Linked DNA regions of Caenorhabditis elegans. The protein of the gene in region 1 interacts with the protein of each later gene in a biochemical or structural test. Each region holds a gene or a part of one and is shown in the gene's direction. Other genes may lie near its edges.

Evidence for each region.
Region 2: the proteins of tni-3 (region 1) and tnc-2 interact in far-western blotting, tested with the Caenorhabditis elegans proteins (2 studies listed by BioGRID).
Region 3: the proteins of tni-3 (region 1) and pat-10 interact in far-western blotting, tested with the Caenorhabditis elegans proteins (2 studies listed by BioGRID).
Region 4: the proteins of tni-3 (region 1) and lev-11 interact in far-western blotting, tested with the Caenorhabditis elegans proteins (one study listed by BioGRID).

The regions. Positions count from the first base shown.
Region 1 is NC_003283.11:16,832,639-16,837,763, reverse strand, and holds tni-3 (Troponin I 3), read left to right. Parts: upstream 1-2,635; 5' UTR 2,636-2,654; coding exon 2,655-2,711; intron 2,712-2,755; coding exon 2,756-2,884; intron 2,885-2,932; coding exon 2,933-3,271; intron 3,272-3,720; coding exon 3,721-3,978; 3' UTR 3,979-4,126; downstream 4,127-5,125. Other genes in the region: phy-3 (Fe2OG dioxygenase domain-containing protein), read right to left, coding at 1-90, 4,241-4,448. UniProt on the Caenorhabditis elegans protein: Troponin I is the inhibitory subunit of troponin, the thin filament regulatory complex which confers calcium-sensitivity to muscle actomyosin ATPase activity.
Region 2 is NC_003280.10:10,465,201-10,470,087, forward strand, and holds tnc-2 (Troponin C), read left to right. Parts: upstream 1-1,651; 5' UTR 1,652-1,736; coding exon 1,737-1,739; intron 1,740-1,816; coding exon 1,817-1,930; intron 1,931-2,032; coding exon 2,033-2,114; intron 2,115-2,163; coding exon 2,164-2,285; intron 2,286-2,745; coding exon 2,746-2,907; 3' UTR 2,908-3,150; downstream 3,151-4,887. Other genes in the region: sdz-37 (SKN-1 Dependent Zygotic transcript), read left to right, coding at 1-98; clec-143 (VWFA domain-containing protein), read right to left, coding at 3,151-3,246, 3,347-3,448, 3,499-3,611, 3,672-3,863, 4,093-4,292, 4,340-4,438, 4,504-4,721, 4,825-4,887.
Region 3 is NC_003279.8:5,017,799-5,022,677, reverse strand, and holds pat-10 (EF-hand domain-containing protein), read left to right. Parts: upstream 1-2,591; 5' UTR 2,592-2,614; coding exon 2,615-2,617; intron 2,618-2,685; coding exon 2,686-2,737; intron 2,738-2,787; coding exon 2,788-2,894; intron 2,895-3,301; coding exon 3,302-3,457; intron 3,458-3,507; coding exon 3,508-3,675; 3' UTR 3,676-3,696; intron 3,697-3,751; 3' UTR 3,752-3,895; downstream 3,896-4,879. Other genes in the region: C46H11.6 (PDZ domain-containing protein), read right to left, coding at 263-598, 903-1,096, 1,588-1,801.
Region 4 is NC_003279.8:14,627,718-14,633,601, reverse strand, and holds the start of lev-11 (Tropomyosin isoforms a/b/d/f), read left to right. Parts: upstream 1-2,507; 5' UTR 2,508-2,642; coding exon 2,643-2,687; intron 2,688-2,822; coding exon 2,823-2,960; intron 2,961-3,660; coding exon 3,661-3,717; intron 3,718-5,884. UniProt on the Caenorhabditis elegans protein: Tropomyosin, in association with the troponin complex, plays a central role in the calcium dependent regulation of muscle contraction. Involved in muscle actin filament organization and muscle arm extension and morphology.

The DNA.
Region 1 (5,125 bases):
GATTACGGTAGATCACAAGTGTCGGAGCCCAACTGATAATTTCCATGTCGACCGGGAGCATGTTGTAGACGTAGGTGATGCAGATGGAATCTGGAATTTCAGAATAAATTTCACTGGAATTTTAAAGCCGCAGTACAAAATTATCCGCAACAAAACAACCTGTGCCCCTACAAAATTCTCCAAAGTATTTTGCAAGCTGTGTCACTCATACCCATCATTTTTATTATCTCTGAACTTTTGTTTCCTCCATTTCACTACGTCAGTTGTTGTGGTGGTTATACATATTTTATTGGCAAGTGCAGAGAGCAAAGCTGGCAGATTTCAGAAATAGTGGACTACTCAAAAGCCTGTTCCGGCCTGAAATTATTTCATGTAGCCCGGAAGAGGAGCTACTAGCCAAGTATCCTCTCCGTAAAGGTTGTCCAAAAGTTCCGGCAAAAATCTGAGCCCAGTGTGCTCATTGAGCAAAAACGTCCGTGAAAAAAAAAACTTGTCAACCCACATATCATGTTCCTTCTAGACATCAATCTTCTATGTTGATCAGGGACAACTATTTCGAAATTATTAGCTTTTTTCCTTGAAGAAACCCTTTTTTCTGTTCGATATCTATGCCTGATTAATGATATTTCGGAACAAAGCTCAGAAATTCTCGAAAAAAAATCAAAATGAGGAAGCTGCGGTGCTGATCGGAGCACATATGCTTCCGATTTCTTGTTGAGTGTTTGGCACAGAAAAAACAAGCATAGGAATCAAAAAATTTGCTTCAAGGAGCTTGAAATAATTGAAATTAATTCTGGAAACATTCAAATTTGCTCAGAAAATTGAAAAAAAACAGTTTTCAAATTAGTTGTAGTATTCTATGAAAATTAGCTCTCAAAATCCACCTTCAAACTGTACTCCAGTATTTTCCAAATTGCTCTAAGAAGCCTCGAAAAACAAAACTCAAAATGTTTACAACTAATTTCATTTTTATGAAATTGGAAAGCTCTGAGCCTTCGAAAATCAGTTTTCAAACGCGAAAAAAAATCCTGGCTCCTTCAAATTTGCTCTAAATCATTTGAAACTTAACTTCGAAAGTCCGAAATTTTCCTAACTTTTTTCAAAAAATGTTCAAAAAACCCAAAATTGACCTCCAGACTTCCCATTTTTCTCCCAATCATCAATCTTTTGCCACCTCAAAATTTGCGACAATTGATGTGGTGGCAACAACTGTTCTGATATCTCTCTTTTTTGCAAATTGATCCTCATTTTGATTGGCACCGGTGGTCTGATAAAAGGGATTCCCCCGGGGAATTCCTGCTAATTTCCGAATTCCCCTAGCACATTTTCTACCACAGAAAAAGAAAAGTAAGTAGTATTCCCAAAGCTTTCCCGTGAGAGCTCCGAGAGCTCTAGGCTCACACACACACATGTCGTTTCTATCTTGCGGCAAAAAGTGATGATGGGTTTTGAATTACCGCCGTTTTCACTAGTGCTTCTTGCCCGCCTCCGCCATTCTTTTTCGCCCTGTTTTATTACACTGTTCGCTTCTTCGTTTTGTTTCGTATGCAATATGTGCATCAGCAGTAGGAGCAAAAGTTATAGACGGGAGATAGAGAGAGAGTACAAGATGGAGGCGGAGAGCAGGGGAAAACAGGGAGGGAGGGGGTTCCGCAGGAAAAACATGTTTTAAACTTTGGTTTTAGTTTTCAGTCTTCTCCTCCTGATTCACTCATTCTGCCATTCGTTGTGATCAGATTACGTCATGCTTTTTGATTTTCCAGGTCTTACTTTTTTACCGTATATCTTGTCTAGCCTGATTAATATGCCATCGGCCGGGTTTTTTGCGGCTGCCATTATGAATTGTGGTTTTGTGAATATTTCGTAAAATTCAGTCTGCTGCAGCAAGCTTTAATAGAATTTTGGAAAACCCTGTGAGATGTCGGATGCATTGGAAACTGTTGGTCTTGTGAAAACCAATTCAATGTCGGCTGCAGATTTGTTTTTGTTTTTTACACTTTTTGCAAAACTTTCTTGCAGCCAACATGTCCTGGGTTAAACTAAATTGTATCAATGTCGGCGACAACATTTTACTTTTTAAAAACTATCGAAGCTGCTTGCAGCTGATTTCTCACGGGTTCCCAAAGTTCCGCTAAACCCAGTTATGTGTCGGCTGCTATAACGTATCATCTAAATATAAATTAATTTCCTTGCACCCGACATTTCCCGGGTTCACAATCTATTACGTCTTAAAATTTTGGCTGGAAAAAATTACAAAAACCTCTGTTTTATGGAAACTTGCGGCCGACATCTGCCGGGTTCAACAAAATGTCTCGATGCTTTAAATGTACAAAATACACCCGGTTAAGTGTCAGCTGCAGATATCTAAGCCTATACTGAAAATTAGTTTGCAGCCGACATTTCCCGGGTTTGCCGCCGCCGCCACCGGTCGGCTGCGTCGGCCTCTTTAGGTTACCGTAGTATCTTTCAGAACATTTTATGTTCTTTGTTCTAATTCTCAAATCCCATTTCTCTACTAACTTCTTCCATATGCTATTATTTTTCCTTCCTGCTCCGCACACATACTAATCAAGATTTATTGCTCAATTTCTCTTTCCCGCCCCGCTTGCCACTTCTCACAGATCAACTTTTCCAGGTCATTTTTCCCCGCCAAAATGCTGATTGAAGACGAGAACATTCGCTACGGCGGAGCTCAGGCTGATGTTGAGGACGTAAGAAGTTGCTCAATTTTCAGATTACTTAAAATTAATTTCAGGATGCCGCCCGCAAGGCTCAAGAGCGTGAGCTCAAGAAAGCCGAAGTCCGTAAGCGTATGGAGGAGGCAGCAAAGAAGGGATCCAAGAAGAAGGGTTTCTTGACTCCAGAAAGAAAGAAGAAGCTTAGAGTGAGTAAAGCCTTGGCTGTAACTTTTTAGATATCAGAATAATTCCAGAAACTTCTCATGATGAAAGCCGCCGAGGACTTGAAGCAACAGCAAATGCTCAAGGAGCAAGAACGTCAGAAGACCCTTCAGCAGCGTACTATCCCACTTCCAGACGTCGACTCGATCAATGATCAGGGACAACTCTTGAAGATCTATGAGGATATGTTCGCCAGAGTTTGTGCTCTTGAGGAGGAGAAGTTCGATATCAACTTCGGAGTATCCCAGACTGAGGCAGAGATCAATCAGTTGACTATTCAAGTTAATGACTTGAGAGGAAAGTTTGTGAAGCCAACATTGAAGAAGGTGTCCAAGTACGACAACAAGTTCAAGTCATCCGGAGAAGTTAAGGTGAGAGATTGGAAATAATGAATTTTGTAGAAACTTTTCGAAGCCTCGTTAGGTGTCGGCTGCTGCAAGACAATTTTTGAAATTTTTTGAACAGACCAGTTAGGTGTCGGCTGCAAACTATAAATGTGGGCATCTAACTATTGCGTTTGCAAAACAGATGCAGCCGACATCTTTGGGGATCACCCAAAGCTCGCTAATTCCCGTGAACTGTCGGTTGCAACAACTTTTCGTGCCAAATGCAGAAAACACCAAAAATGCGTTAAAATTGTGTAAAAAAATGTTAAAATGCTCAACTCAAACACGGCAAACCACTATTTAATTTCGGAAAGAAAAATTTGACTGAAAATTTCCATTGAAAAATATTCCGATATCTTTTTAAAAACATTTTAGTTTTTTTAAAGTTCTCAAATTGTTCCAATTGATTTCCACCAAATAACAATAAATTTCAGGAAAAATCAAACTTCCGCAACAACCTGAAAGTGGTCAAAAAGGAGACGGACCTCGACGAAATCATGGCAAAGAAGAAGGGAACCGCCGACGGAAAACCAGAATGGTCCAAGAAAGAGAAGAAGGAAGAAGAGGCTGCACCAGTGGAACTAGCTGCTCCAGTCGAGCCAGAGGCCGAGCCAGAACCAGAAGCCGCCGAGCCAGCAGCTGAAGAGCCAGAAGCCGAAGAGGAAGAGGAAGAAGAGGAGGAAGAGGAATAAGAAGTGGTGATCTTTTTGTAGATTTTTATGTGCTTGAGCTTATTGATTTTTTATTGTCAAAAAAAAAATTAAATATGATAATCGCATTTTTCATTGCTACTTATGAAAGTTAATGGAGAGAAATTGAAATAAATCTTTTGAAAACTGATAAACCCCCAAATTTTGCTAAGTAGCCTTGCTGCAAGCGCGCTCTGCGGACAAAAAAACGGTATATACCAAATATAAAATTATCAACGGAGCGCGATTACACACAGACACTCACCATTTTTCTGCCATTTCGTGTCCTTTGTCTCATCATCACAAAGCTCCAACTGATCCGTGCTCCACCATTTTTCACCCAAAAAATTCGTGAATTGCTCGTTGAAATCGTCCTGGGCGAGCAGCCAAATATGTCTGCATTGGCTGTAAAGCCACGTGGCACACAGTAGAGAAACAAGACCCAGAATTTGACGGAAAGTGACAGAAATCATGATGGTTTTCTAAAAATAAATATGATTAAGTTGCGGAAAAAGCGGAAAGTGGGAAAGTTTATCGAAACAAAAAAAAACAACAGAAAAGAAAACATACCGGCGACGGCAGAAAATGCAACTTCAGTTTTATCCCGATTTCCACGTACTGAGCACATTGTGCAAAATGAACTTTTGGAGAATAAATGGAGCAAAGGGTCGAAAAGGTTCAATGAACTTTTTCACGCTGAAATATATTTGGGATTTTAATTTATTAGAAACGTTAAAAAATATATTAATTCTTAAATTGACAGTTTTAAATTTGAAAGCTATATTTTCAAAGGATCTGTAAATTTTTTTCAAATAGGATTTTGTATTTTTGGATATATTTCTGTTTTAAAAATGTTGCTTCTTTTTTTTCAAAAAAAAAAGTTAAATTTTTGAAATGTTGTCGGAAATTTTTAAGAAACATTGGATCAGAAAAATTCCAAAAAATTCAGTTTTCTTAAAATAACGGGCAACAAATTTTCAAAAACACAAAAACTAGGCATCCGCGCCTTCACGCCTGCTTACCTACCTGCCCTACATCTCTTTGTCTGCATTTTGGAGTGAAGTTAAAACAATGGCATTTTCCATATTACAAATTTGATTACTGAAAGCTCAACAAATAGATTTCAAAATGTTCAGGTGAATTCTGTCTT
Region 2 (4,887 bases), on another chromosome or scaffold:
TTGCCAAGGCTCAATCTCCAGTGAAACTCGTTGCCAATCCATTCTACAATCCAGAACTTGTCAAGGAAATCAAGAAGAAATCCCGTGTTTCAGTTTAATATTATTAATTATTTTTATTTATTTTTCCTCAAACAGTTTAGTCGGTTTTTCTGATATCCAGGTTCGGTTTTTATAATTGTACTTTTTCTTGGAAATGATTACAAAATTTCTGTCCGGTATTTTTTCTGTATTGGTTTTCTCAATTTTTAACAACTGTACTTTTACTCAATTGTTTTAATAAATTAATCAGACTAATTAAAAGTTGTTTTTCACTTCAAACGACCACGCTTTCAATACTAATTGAATACAATACATTTCTGAATAAAATTTTTTTGCTAGTTCCACCATCGAAAATTCCAATTACTCCAATTACTTTAAGCTAGTATTTTGTAGCACATTCGTTTTTTTCAAAATTTTCAGATGATTGATTGATTTATTTAACATAACTAATGCAATTTACAACTGTACAATTGAATTTTGAGTGTTAAATAAAACGGTAAAACGAGACTAACCCAGAAAGAGTACGTCTCGAGTTTGGGACGGGAAAGGAGAGAGAGGGTAATGTGGTAGAAGAGATCAGTTAGAAGTCAAAGAGAACCAGCGGATAAAAGTTAATACCGGGGAATATTGAGATCGAGAAAACTTGAAAACTGATAGGGGGAGAGAAATACCGGTATATTTTTGACAAGATTGTTCCAAATAGGAATGGATTTGGCAAAGAAATGAGAGGTGCATGTGTCTTTCCTAACCAGAATCATGGGTCTCCTATTGGAATTAGAGAACTTGACAAACTGAGTTAATTTAGAGAAATGAGTAGAACCGGTAAGAAGTCTATATAATAGTTTCATTTGAGCTTTAATTCTAGTGTGTCTGGTGGAGAATAGTTCCATGATGCACAGTCTGTTTTCGTAAGAGGTGAATTTAACGTTGCACCTTTGCAGGACGCGGTTGGTGAAGGTCCTAAGCGGTTTTTCAAGTATGGCAGAGAGTGAGGAGTTGGGGGAAGGGGAGTAGATCTCAGAGCAATAGTTTATGATGGGGGCAACGTATGTTTTAAATAAGTGGCTATAAGTTAAATAAGTGGCTATAAGTAAATAAGTGGCTATAATTAAATAAGTGGCTATAATTAAATAAGTGGCTATATAATTAAATAAGTGGCTATAATTTAAAAGTTGTTTTTCACTTCAAACGACCACGCTTTCAATACTAATTGAATACAATACATTTCTGAATAAAATTTTTTTGCTAGTTCCACCATCGAAAATTTCCAATTACTCCAATTACTTTAAGCTAGTATTTTGTAGCACATTCGTTTTTTTCAAAATTTTCAGATGATAAACTGCCCAATACTATTGGAAGTTTCTATAGTAGTAACACATTGACTTACTCTTTCCCCGAATACTTCAAAAATGCCTTCAACTGTACCCACCAATGCTCTATCAGTTTACCTATCTCCGAGCCCCCGAGTTCTACTTCTATCCGGCTGTATCCCTGCACAGTGCCTTTTTATGTCTACATCTCACACATTTTAACAGTCTGTCTCCAATATCCAAACACATCCCCCGCCGACGCATTGTGTGCTCTCGTTAGAGCTCCTCCCGCGCTGTAAGCCACTTGAGCAGTTTGTGGATTTTCCCTCTCTTTTCGCATTTTGTCGAAGAAACTTTTCCTCGTGTCGATCAGGTCAATCATCAATCATGGTAAGAGTTTTGTTTTATTGGTAATTTGTAGCTAATTATGTCTATAAATAAATCTGTGAATATGTGCAATTTTGTAGGGAGACGTCGTTGCTGATGCTTTGGAAAAGCTTTCTGCCGATCAGATCGAGCAATTCCGTAAATACTTTAACATGTTCGATAAAGAGGGAAAAGGATATATTCGTGCTACCCAGGTTTGTGGAGTTTTAATTTTGTAGCAAATTGCTGTTCAAATTGGAATTTCTTGAATTTTTCTTAAAATACTCCCAAGAAATTGTTAAACTCTGAAATTCCAGGTCGGACAAATCCTCCGTACCATGGGACAAGCCTTCGAAGAGCGTGACTTGAAACAGCTCATCAAGGAGTTCGATGCTGATGGTATACTTCCCCCACCGGCCATAAATCTACAGTACCAATCCTTTTTCAGGTTCCGGAGAGATTGAGTTCGAAGAGTTCGCCGCTATGGTTGCCAACTTTGTTGTCAACAATGAGAACGACGAAGGACTCGAGGAGGAGCTTCGCGAGGCTTTCCGTCTTTACGACAAAGAAGTATGTTTATTTGCAATTTTGGTTTCTAATATTTTTAGGGAAAATGAAAGGAGAGAAGTAAATCTTGAGAAAAATATGAAAAAAGTCAATACTTTTGTCCTATGTATTTCTTCTATTTGAAATTATGTGAATTCTGAAATTCTTTTTGAAAACTTTGTTTGTTGTAAACTAATAATTTGTTGAATTCTTGAGCATGACCTTTTTTCACGTTGTCAGCTTATATCTCGGTTTTCATTAGTTTAATCAAAAATTGTCAACTGGCAAAGTATGTACAAAATATTTCTCCAAATTCTGATAGTAATTTTTCAAAAATAGAACTAAAGACAACCAAGATAGTAGCCATCAAAGTTGAGTGATGGTTCAAGAGAAAAAATACGGTATGTCATCAATATTTCTTTTACAGTCTGAACCATTGAAATTGAAGAAAATATAATTTTAAAGCCTAAATTTTAACTTTCAGGGAAACGGATATATCAACGTCTCAGATCTTCGTGACATTCTCCGTGCTCTTGACGATAATGTTTCAGAGGAAGAGCTCGACGAAATGATTGCTGAAATTGATGCTGACGGTTCCGGAACTGTCGATTTCGATGAGTTCATGGAAATGATGTCTGGAGAATAATTTTAATTTTTATCCTACCAATGATTTCTGACGGCGCCTTACCATTCACTGACTTCCAATAATTCTTTTTGTAAAAAACAACAAATCTTACATTTTCATGCTTTCAATTTATTTGATAAAAGTTGATAAAAAAAATAAAAGAAATCTCAAAAAAATATTGTAAAAAAATTCCCATGTAGTCGACCCTTTTGATGTTAGAACAAGTAATGATTAAGAATAAAATTTATAAAATAAAATTGATCATCAATTTTCCAAATACGTAGTGTAGTATTCTGTGCTGCTTGCTTGAACTTGACAGATGAAGAGCCAATCATTGGTCTGAGGTGGAGCCCAGAAGAACTGTAACAAGATTTAAGGAAAATATTGAAGTACCGTATCAACGATATAAAAATTCATTTGTTGAAAGATATTGCAAAATTCATGTTGCAAAACGACTTACATCAGTAGATCCCTCCTGCAATGGTTGTGTCGAAATAACTTGGTTCGTAGAATTTGCTTGTGGAAATCCTGGAGCCCACTTTGAATAGATCAGTGGATTAAGCTGAAACACACAATATTTTTCAAACACAAATAACAAAATCTATAAAGTACCGGAATCATGTCCTGGCCTTGAGGCTGCTCCCAGAGCCACTGATTTCCCAAGTTACGTAATCCAATGTAGTATTCCAATGGCTTGTACTTGGGGAACGAAATTGCCATGAGAACTGGAAATTAATTTATAGGTAATTTTGCTGAAATGCTTAGTTTTTGAAGTTTAATCTCACTTTGCATAAAATCGTGTTTGGCCTGACTGAACTCATTTGCTAAGTGAGCATTTTTAACTTCACTGGCACAATAATCGATGGCATGTTGGTAACCGTAACTTCCGCCAGTTGCAGTAAATCCTCGAAGACAAACTCCGTATTGAGTTCCGTTGCCAGTAAACTGAACCCAGTTTTCTGGGCAGAAGCAGTTGACTGAAATAGTTGTTGTTTGAATTCGTACTCAACTATAATTTGACTAATGTGATAAATTACCCAGGTATGTTACATCCAACCAACGATTACAATCTTTGGTTCTCTATGAATGTTGAATGCATATTAATTCCAATTAGATAGTTTCAAGAGATTTCTAATGATATGATGCCACAGACATAATAGTCATTATGCATTTTTCAGTTAGTTAACGTAAAAATATATAACGTACTGCTCAATAGCGCCGTTGTCAACTGTTTAACCAATTTAGAAGTATTCATCTCATCCACTAAACTGAATTGAGGACTAGAAATCTGTGCTAATCCATCCAATGCTGCTTGATTCGTTGTGCACGCTACCGTAATGATAATAGTATTGTCATATTTCATGCGTCTAGCAATTGGGAATGCATCATTAGAGGTTCCTGATCCTCTGAAATTTAACTTTTTAGTAATGTTACATCATTCTTTCCAGCTTACTGATAATCAGCTGCAAAAACTATAACAACTTTCAGAAAGTTGAACCGATATGTGCGGCTACGCCCATTCTTGAGTGCTTGCTCAGCCGCCAGAAGTCCTCTGAAAGTTGGTGAGTTTTGAAACTTGTGCGAGTTACTTTTTTTTTAATGAAGATCTCAACTCACTTGCTCAAATACGACGAATTTGTAGAATCGACGTTGTTCAATGATCCTTGAACCACATTGTACAAATCAGTGAAACTGTGTGGTCCGTCCAATTGAGCGTTTGTGGTAGCATCGGAATCATACGTCACAACTCCAACACATGTACTACGAGGATCCGCTGGGTATTTAGTTGGACCGATTCGAGATGAGCCAAATAATTGAGTAATGGTATTTCTGACCTAAAAACATTGTTTGTTAATTTGGACATTTGGGAAATAATTTAAGATTTTTTTAAACTTTCAAATTAAAGAAAAACTTTGATTTTTAAAAATTACAACTAACCTGCCAGAGCTGTGCATTTGTCATCAGTTGAGACTTATCAACAACTACAACTACGTCCAACCA
Region 3 (4,879 bases), on another chromosome or scaffold:
TGCAATCCAGTGGTCTAAACACGCGTTATTCATGTTCTCGGAGCAATAATTTACCGAGTAGATGTGGAAACTGAGGTGACCAATTTCTCAAGTTTCAGGCTTACTGTATACTTCTGATTTTAAGAAACCCAGTGTTTAGTTATTTTAATAATAATATTTTTGTTGAAGCTCCAGCATACGGATCGTCCTAAATCTTGCAAAACCGGACGCCGGTTTTCCAAGCAAACGTTCAGCCGGTACAATTTGAAGAAAAAGTCCTCACCCGACCAATACATATCGCGTCGTTTGCCATCTTAACATCTGGATCTGGAGCAACTGACTCAATCAAATGACGAAGAGTGTTTGCAGATTCCACAGAAACCGGTCTTTCAACCAAAAATGTGACTTTTTCTCCTTTCAAAATTCCCGACAGTTTCTCACGAATGAAGTCGTCATTTTTCTCTGCGTTCAGAATGGATTCTTCATTTATATCCATTATCAGATCCCCACGACCAAAGAATATCGAAGCGAGTGAGCTGGGCTCGATTCGAGTTACTATGCCACGTTTTTGAATATATGTCACTGTAACTCCAACCGTTGCACTTTTCATTGCGGAAGTCTGGAGTAAATGGTATTTATTAAGGGGTGGACATAAGTTCTAGGTATAATCCAAAGTTATTTTAAACAATTATTTTATGAGAATTTTTGTTGTCAAGCAACAAGCAGTTCGTCACATTTCGTCAAAAAAACTTTCATAATTTCGTCTTTAATTTTTTAAATTAAAAACAATTCATACTCAAAAAACATGCAAAATTCTAGAATTTAATTGGTCATTCTGTAACTCCGTTCAAAACCTCATTGCAAAGTTCAGATTTCGTATATTTTCGAATAAGATAATCATGTCGATTTTTCTTCAATTATACCTTTTCAACTTCAATAACAAAGCACGTATTGTCCCGTCTCAAAACACATCCCGATTTCTTCAACCGTTCTCTGGTCGCTGGGATAATATTTTTCCGTCTTGTAACCTCAACACTACATGTTTCACCTTTCATGAGCTCTGTCTGATACTTGGATATATTTCCACTGGCACCGTTCACCTTGACTATTTTGTCGCCTGAAAGAAAAGTATTTTTAATCTAGTTTTTTAAACTGGTTTAATACATTAATTGGAAAAGTGTAAAGTGGAAAAGAAACTAGGGAGTCTTCCGAGGAAAATTGACTTTTCCTGGCTCAAAATGTATAATTGTGGACAGAAGAGTTTTGAAACCCTTGTACCAGTCAAACCAATTTTTGCCTATTATTTTATCGGGGATAAATATACATTTGTTCGGCAAAACATCACAACTTCATAGCAAACTCTTGCAACTTGAAACAAACATTTATAAACAATTGCCAAGAGATGTTACAAAGTTGCAAAAACCGGAGCAGTTCTAAGCGAAATGTTTCATAAAGTTTGCCAAAAGAAATTGCAAGAGTCATCTGAAAAGCTGCAGAAATTTGTTAGAAAACTAAAGTAAATAATGGTTTGTAAGAAGTTGCAAGATTCTGTTATGAAGTTGGCCCGCTTCAAAATAGTTTCGGGTTATCCGGCCGTTGGAAACTTACTCAATATCAATCCATTGTAAAACGAGTTTGTTGATAGGAAAGAAACCATCGAATTCTCATTAATTCTAATAACTTCATTCGCAGGCTTTCCGACATCTTTTTCATCAATCTTGAATGAAACTGTCATATTTACAGTTTCCACATTCTGTGGGATCGGTGTCAGCCAACATTCTTTCATCTTTTTGTTCGTATTCTGCACTTTTTTCTTCGACATTCTTCTTCAAAAGAAATAACGTTTTCCGAAGTTACTTGTTAGCTCCAAACTCACGATTATGGTTTCCTTTTGAAATCCGGAAATTTAGTGTCAAATGATAAATAAGAATGATTAGAAATCTACCTCCTCCCCCTCGACTAAACTGAATTGGAAAAACATAAAGTTTAAATTCAAAATGGTGTGTCACGCGATAAAAAGTTACTGGAGAAACTTGAGAATTATAAAATAGTATTCAAATTAAACGTTTGATATAAAACTGTAAAGATATACATACTCAGTGCACATTTAAAAAAACTGAAAAAAAAACGTTGTTGTGTTCTGAAGCCCAAAAAGGCTAGATGTTCTGGTCACCATGTACAGCTAAGAATCCAAGTATTCTGGGAAAGTTCAATTACATATATTGCCTGTCAACTCCATTTCTGTACTTAATTCTACTCCAATTATATTATTTTTTTTCTATTTCCTGGACTTTTATTGATCCTTGGTTGCCTGTCCCCCCAATCTTTCTTCGTACTCTCCTCCCGTTTCCCCTTCCTTCTCGGAGAGCCTTGTCTCTCGAATCCTGTGTTTCGCAAAAATCATCGTCAACTTCCACACAGATATCATTCTGCGTCTCTTCGCCCTCTATGATCTCTCATGCCCGTTGATCAGGAGCATCTGTCACCCAGTGTAACACCAAGAATGTGTTTTGTGGAGGAGACGATGATGCCGTTGTGAGAAAGAAAAGCCCGCCCTCGGGTTCCTCCGCCTACTCGCTCCCGCCGTTGCTTCTGCCCGACGAAGCTTATCCAGAGCACAACAAACTCCGACAACATGGTGAGTCCCGCTTTCTCATGTCTTCAATAAATTTCTTTTTGAATTTTTATATGTTTATACTTTTATAGGCTGAGGATATCGAAGAGATTCTTGCTGAAATCGACGGATCCCAAATTGAGGGTAAGATATTTTATATTTATGATTGAAAAATCATCATTAAAACTTTCTAGAATACCAAAAGTTCTTCGATGCCTTCGACAGAGGAAAGCAAGGATACATCATGGCCACTCAGATCGGTCAAATCATGCATGGAATGGAACAGGATTTCGATGAGAAGGTAAATCATTTTGGAACTTTTGGTTTATGTAGAGTTAGGGGATCTTCAGAAGAGTGATAATTCAAATTAGGAAGTTTTCAACTCTTTTAAATTTAGGTTTCACGGTAATGATTAGGTAGGCCAACTGAGTAAGATAACCGAAAATATAAATGGGTTACTCTTGCCTAAAATTTTGTTTTTATCCGACCTATCTTCTGCGGCTTGTTTCTCAACTGAATTCAATTAATTTTCGCCACTAAAACATGTTACTAATGTTTGTGAAATAATTAATTTTGATATTCCATCTGAACAAAAGCATTTATTATGTCGACTAAAGTAAGATATAACTATATGTTATGAAATTTAGTTATAGAATTGATGATTTTGATTTTTCTAAATCTATGTGGCATCTAACTTCATTCTTTTAGACCCTTCGTAAACTGATCCGCAAGTTCGACGCTGACGGTTCCGGAAAGCTCGAGTTTGACGAGTTCTGCGCTCTCGTGTACACCGTTGCAAACACTGTCGACAAGGAAACATTGGAGAAAGAACTTCGTGAAGCTTTCCGTCTTTTCGACAAGGAGGTTTGTACTTTTAGATTTTGCTTTTTATTCTTTAATTATTAATTTTTCAGGGTAACGGATATATTTCTCGACCAACTCTGAAGGCTCTTCTCAAAGAAATCGCCGATGACCTCACCGATCAACAACTCGAGGAGGCTGTCGACGAGATTGACGAGGACGGTTCCGGAAAGATTGAGTTCGAGGAGTTCTGGGAGTTGATGGCTGGAGAGTCTGATTAAATTTTCTAATTCCTTTAAAATGTAAGTGTTCGAGCTTTTTTTGATTTTATTCAAAAACTAACTTTTTATTTTTCAGCGCTGATCTACAATCTTCAACTGTGGGGACCAGTCACCAACTTTTCATAATTTCCTTTTTCTTGAAATGTTAAATTCATTTCACTTTTTATTAATTTTCTTGTCATTCTTTTGAATGAATAAAAATGAATAAAAGTCTTTGTACATCCACAGGCTTATTGGAAGAGTGTGACCAATTTGAAACGGCCAAAATCAGGAAATAATCAGAAGAACTAGACTTCTCAAATCCTTTAACACAACATCAAATCCGCAGTATAGTGCTCCGTTTTCTCTTGACCTAAAAAAACGGGAAAAGTCCATCTACGGGGAATGGAATGACAAATCTCTATAAATATAGAGATTCACCGTTGCAACCTTGTTGTTTGAAAGTGAAGTGTCTCTAAATAGAATGAAAATTATGAAAAATGGAAAATGTATTAAATCACTGCAAATGAGACCTCTACTCTGCGGCATTACAGTTTTTACCGTTTTAGCGCAACAGGACAGTTTTTGTAAATTTGCAAAAGTAAAGTGACAATTCTCTATGTAGATTTTCTACGAATGAATTTCAGGATACTTGTGAACTTGCAAAACAGTTTTTCACTATTTCAATTGTTCCAAATCTAAATTCAACAAATCCCTCTCTTTTTCTCTATCTGTGCTCAACTCTTTTCTATATAAACTTAGTGTAACATAGGCTTTATCTTTTTCTATCCACTTTCCCACCAATATCCCTCCAGGAATAGAAAAGGGATTAACGGTGGAGACTCCAAATAGTGTCCATCACATGCAGCTACTATTGCTCCAGAAGCCCTTCACGAGTCTCTCTGCCGTCTCTTTGCTTATCAGAGCCCAGATACTTACTATGGAAACCATCAGATGGGAAAACGAGAAGAAGAAAGCAGATGTAAATATAAATTAGAAAATAAGAAGAAGAAGAGACAGACATAGAGTTGTCCCTCCGTTTCTCTTTCTCTCACTCCCTTTCAAAGCGCCACGTGTTAGTTTCTTTGAAGTAGGTACAAATATTAGGATGCTCTCAATGTCTATAATGTATCTGGTTTACTGTAATTCTATGTCTCTCATTCTGAAACACTGTTTTTAAATTCCTTGCTTCATTCTTTAGCTACCTTGCTTCAACTCAGAAATA
Region 4 (5,884 bases), on another chromosome or scaffold:
TGTGTACACTATTATAGTAAATTTTGATACCGTTAGATAACAATTGCATGTTCAAAAATTTGTATTGAAAAAATTACTAAACCTGACAAAAATTGAATATATACTATATTATACTGTATTAGAACTGTTATTGCTATATAGCCTCTAATGGGAAATGATTATTTGCTATGGTAAATATCCGGAAAATTTTAAGTTTTTTTTTAAAAAGCGTAGCTGAGTAGTAAAGCTTAATGAAATAATGCAGTAAATACGAAAAATGCTAAATTCAGACAGAAAACCACAGTCTTCAGGAAATTTCGGCTGACACTACTTATTTTCATTAACGTTCAATTTACGATAGCGTGCAAAAAGTAACAATATTTCCTCTAGCCTTATGTAGACTAGAAGTTATGGTAATCACGTTTGATATAAAATTGGGTTGAAGTACTTAATTTTGCGAACTTATCTGAAAATTGACTAATCCGTCAATGCATAATTATAGTAAATATGTCATTTTGAACATTAATTCGGATAGAATGAAATTTAGAAAAGAAGTGTCTTTTCTTTTCCGACACATCCAATACGAACAGATATTATATAACGAGGTCCCCCTAGTCATATTACATGCAAGACTAATCGATAGGAAATAGTGTAGCAAGTAGCTGGTACTATTCATGGATCTATTTTTCATCACCATTATATAATCGTAATACATACATACATGCATATATACATGATCACGAATCTTAGTTGACATTAAATTATCACGACTTATTTAGAAATACTGTCTATGATAAATAGTTTTAACAAGTATTCTCCTACAAAATCATTAAATATAACCCTAAATTCAAAATAAACCACTACTATTATACCTCTTCCACATAATCCACTGATATTATCAAACAAGTTGCCCTCTTGACAATAAACTCTCGAACGCCAACTGTTTCGAATGTTTTGTCGTCGGCTGGATGCCACAATTGCTTCTTTTCGGGGATAAGAAGAAGAGCATATACACACAAGTAGTATTGGATTCTAATGTCAGGATTTCAAAAACTGAGACTCTGATCATTGACCGACTTTTGGGAATCTGAGATAAAAAAAAAGAACAATAACAAAAAAAAGTTTAAGGGAAGTAAATGCGTTTCTATGGATAGTGGGTAGGGCTGTACAAATCGGCGTCCGGTCGTCCGATTTTGACACCACCGGACGCACATGCGTCCGGTTGGGGGTAGCTATCCACGACGGCCGACAACTTCCGAGTTTCGCCACTCACTATACTTAATCAGCAATTTTATAGTGAGTGGCGAAATTCGGAAATTGTCGGCCGTCGTGGATAGCTACCCCCAACCGGACGCATGTGCGTCCGGTTCGAACTTCGGACGACCGGACGTCCGGTTGTACAGCCCTAATAGTGGGTAAAGAGAAATGGAAAAATATGGGAATGTATGAAAATTGGAAAGATGAAATGTGGTACTTCTTATTGTAAAATTAGACACTAATCAAATTCCGGAGAACAAAGCTATGTAACATGGCACTGTAAAAACTGAGCTTGTCATATTTTTTAAAATTCAGTTTTGATTGTTCAGTTTTCTTTAAAAATTCATTCATGAATAGTTACAGTAATAGGATATCTTATATCACGTGTGCATTAGTGTTGCAACCCTTTCCATAAAGTTTCAAGGTTCTTAAAAAAAGGTTCAACTGGAAAAAAACCATACTTGTAGCATACTCTTTCGTAGTGTAATATTACTAGGGAAGCCCAGATTTATGATATCTGTTCATATTGGATGTATGGTGAAAGGCAATATGATTTCGTTATGTTAGGCTTGAAGGCTTGTTAATAGGCTTTAAAAAAGGCTACCAGTAATGTTAATGTTAAGGTTGAAGCCTTGTTAGGCCTCGAAAATGAGACACTTATTTTTTAATTTTAACTCCATTAATGTTCAAATTTAAGGATGTCCTTAAAAATGTAACTAATTTTAATGACACCATTACTTTAATAATTTATTAAAGTTTTAGTCAATCTTGAGTTAAATTTTCGAAAATTTTGCAGCAATTTGATTTTACATCACTTATGGTTATTATTACTAACAGTCTAGATATATAAGAAATATCGTTACTATTTGTACGATAACGTAATTAACAATCAAATTGATAATCGTTTCAATTTTTTAATGTAAAGAGGCTCAGAACGGCTTTTGCCACGTCATCAAGCGACCACGCGAATATCGGTCCTGGAACACCATACCACCTTACTAATTATGTGGTTTTTTTTTAAAGTTTTGTTCCTTTTTCCATTCCACGAGAAACCCTTCTTCTCCCCAATCATCATCTTTTCCATCTGCCATCGGCTCTTGCTCTTCTCCCCACAATTCCCGTTGCTCCGTGTGTGCTGTAATATGCTCCAGGGGGGTGGGTGGGCAGGGATCCCATAGGCATAGGTCTCCACGAAATCAATACTATCTAATCATCTGCCACACCCCCGTCTGATGTTGTGGAGGAAGTGAGAAGAGAGAAGAAGAAGAAGAAGAAGCGGGGGCTCGTGTGGGAGGAGTCTCGTGAAGACGGGAACCTGAAGCTAACGGGAGAAGAAGAATCATTCTCCCCTCCAATTTGAATCGTCGATACTCCGTGTGTTTCAACACAACAACAAACTACCAAAAATGGACGCCATTAAGAAGAAGATGCAGGCCATGAAGATCGAGAAGGTTTCCACACTTTTTTTAAATTTTAATACTGTTTTATAGTGAATTTCTTCAACTTTTTCAATTTTAAAATTAGTAGTGGTCATATACATTCCAATATTTTGAATTTTTCCTCAAAACCATATACACATATTCTAGGACAACGCTCTCGATCGTGCCGATGCCGCTGAAGAGAAAGTCCGTCAGATCACCGAGAAGCTCGAAAGAGTCGAGGAAGAGCTCAGAGACACCCAGAAGAAGATGACTCAGACCGGAGACGATTTGGACAAGGCTCAGGTATGGGTTTAAGCCAGAATTTAGGCTCTTTGCGTATATTTTATCGATTTTAAGACCCCATATAAACTGGCTTCCTAAATTTTCGCTTAGATCTTGGTTTGATAAGACTTTAAGCTATCAGATTTTTACCAGGAAGCTTAAAAATTCATGAAAATCGCAGGAGTTTCTAGAAGTTCCAAAATATTGTCTAGCTTCTACTTTGATACCATATATAATTAGCGTATTATTAATACCTACTTTCTCAACTTAAAGCCGCTATCCCGGAAGATTTTGGCCTGAAACTGAGCAAAGTTCTGAAAAGCAGAAGTTGAGCTCTAAATTTCCTAATTTTTTGGAATCAAGCTTTTACAATACCTTATATATAGCGAATTTTGATTACAGTCCGATTTCAGAAAACAAAATTTTTTAGAGACACTGGCGCTCAAGTAACCTATAAAATCTTAAAGTATAACTAAAAATCACCCTAAAAACAAAATTCGAAATTCATAGTGCAGGGTGCTCAATTTGTAACTTTTAGCCCTAAAAATTTAACCTGGAATCTAAAATTTACCTAGGACACCACTAGAAATCAAATTCGAAGCTCATGGTGCATCGTCCACCTAGGTCTACCTGTCTCCCTGGGCTTATGCTCCTAAGCTGAAACACTTAGGCTTAAGCTAAGCTAAAAGAATAAGCTCAAAATCAAACTTCCATTTTTCAGGAGGACCTCTCCGCCGCCACCTCCAAGCTCGAGGAGAAGGAGAAGACCGTTCAAGAGGTGAGTCGACTTTCTTTTTAAAGCCCAATCCGGGCAGCTTTTGGTTTCTAAACCGACTTCAGGTATTTCCAATTCCCAATCCACAAGCACAACGACCAGGTTTGTGGCGCGATGTTCAAAGTCAATTAATCCGTTAATTAGTCAGTGAGTAGTTGGAATGAAGAGAGAGAGATACATACATATATACAGCTAGTTTTCCATTCCTGTCCTTTTGGGCATGAAAATGAGTGAGAGAGGGTGACGTTGATGATGATCCGCGGTTTTTTTCTCTTTTCCACCCTCTTTCTCTCACTTCCCATAGGCTTCTTCCCCCACCGGGGTAGCTATTGTTTTGTGTGTGTGTGTGTGTCTTCTTTTTTCAATAATGTTCATATATATATATATATATTGTTTCTTCAAATGTTTGGTATACATTGTACTGTATTCAATCATGATTCACTTTTTTCATTCCGTCGAGAGTCAGAGATAGGGTACTGTAGAAATCCTTCTTTCCCGAAAAAGACTTGATCAGGGTGTGGCTGTTATCTAGTTAGCATGTTATATAACATTATGTAATGATGTTCAAACCAGATTGGCATCACTTTTAGCTCGGTTTTCCAGATTTCCCAATTTTGTAAGTTGTCATTATACTGTTTTATTGAAAACTGATTGTGAGCAAAAAGTGTTGTCAATTTATGTAATTCCCTTTAGTCATTGCTATACGTTCTTGAAAAAATTTTGTTGGCTTAAAACATTCTTAAGCTCCGGCCTTAGCCAAATTTTGCAAGGCTACTTTTCAATATTTCGGAAAATTCTAAGTGGTGCCATGTGATATTTAATTTTCTAGCTTAACAAGCTATTAGTTTTCAAGTACTGATCCTAAAAATTTAAAGCTTAGAGCAGTGGCATTTTTTTTGGAATTTCACTAGTCTGGCGGTAACTTTAAGCGAATGTGATCTATTAACACGTGGTGCCAGGTTGTCTCATTGAAGTTTGATCTACAAAAAATGTGGGAATTTTTAGTCAGCACATTCTTAGCCATGCGAAATCAGTTAAGAACTGTGCGTCTCTTCTCCCGCATTTATGTAGATCAAACCGAAGTGAGCCACTCTGACACCACGTGTAATATAATAATCCAGCAGAATTCAAATTCCTCGTGGTGATTTTTCATGCATTACTTTTCATAGTCTTCGAAAAAAATGCTCAATATTTCCAACTTCGGAGTATTTCAAGTGTATGTTAAGCCTATTTTGAATCCCACGCATCACCGAATTTATCTAGATTCCTAGAATATCTACAGTGCATTTTTTTCCACTTCTCCAACTTTAAAGGAGGGCGCATTTATACGAAATGGTCCCGCCACGCGGCCCAAAAATCAATGCGTGGCGGGACCATTTCGTGTAAGTGCGCCCTCCTTTAAAGCGGTAGAAGTGGAAAAATATCAGTGATTTTTAGGAAAAAAACCTTTTTTTGTCGAGAACTTTTTTCCCTCTCCCGACGTTTTTTTTGCACACAACTTGGCGCGCCGAAATCCAATTTCTTTGCGAAAAGCTCAATCCCATTTTCCGTTACTGCTCAAATGAGCGAGAGGCGAAGAAGAAGAAGAAGATAAAGTTCGAGGAGTGTATGAAGTGCTGTTGGGGGCTTCCTTCCCCTGCCTGCGCCATTGTCTAATCTCTAAGTCTCTCTAGCTTCTCTCTCTCTCTCAATTTCTTCTCTTCCAACTGATTACAACGAGATGTTTGCTTTACAACAACTCCTCCCCGCCAATAGGCTCCCGAGGGCTCACTGAGCATCAACGGGCGGCGCGGCGGGAAAGAGAGAGAGAGAGCATCTCCCCCGCAATTTCAAGAAACGAGGAGAGCTGTGTGATCGGCTTCTCGGCATTTTTCAAGGGGCAAGTGAATGGCATGTCAGTTGAAATGGAAATAAATGAGAATAAATGAAAGCGCACACACCAAAATAGAAACTACAGTAGTGCCTAATGGGTCTCGCCACGATTTTCGTAAAAATTCTAAAATTCCTAGGATTTTCTTCCGAGAACTAGGCAAATGCGCTGCATTTTCAAATTTTTTAAAGGAATTTGCAGGGTCTTAGGTACTAATTTCTAGGGGTTTTATTTGACATTTTCAGGCGCTTATTGCGGAATTTCTTACTTTTAGTGTCAGGCTGTCCCATTACTGTTTGA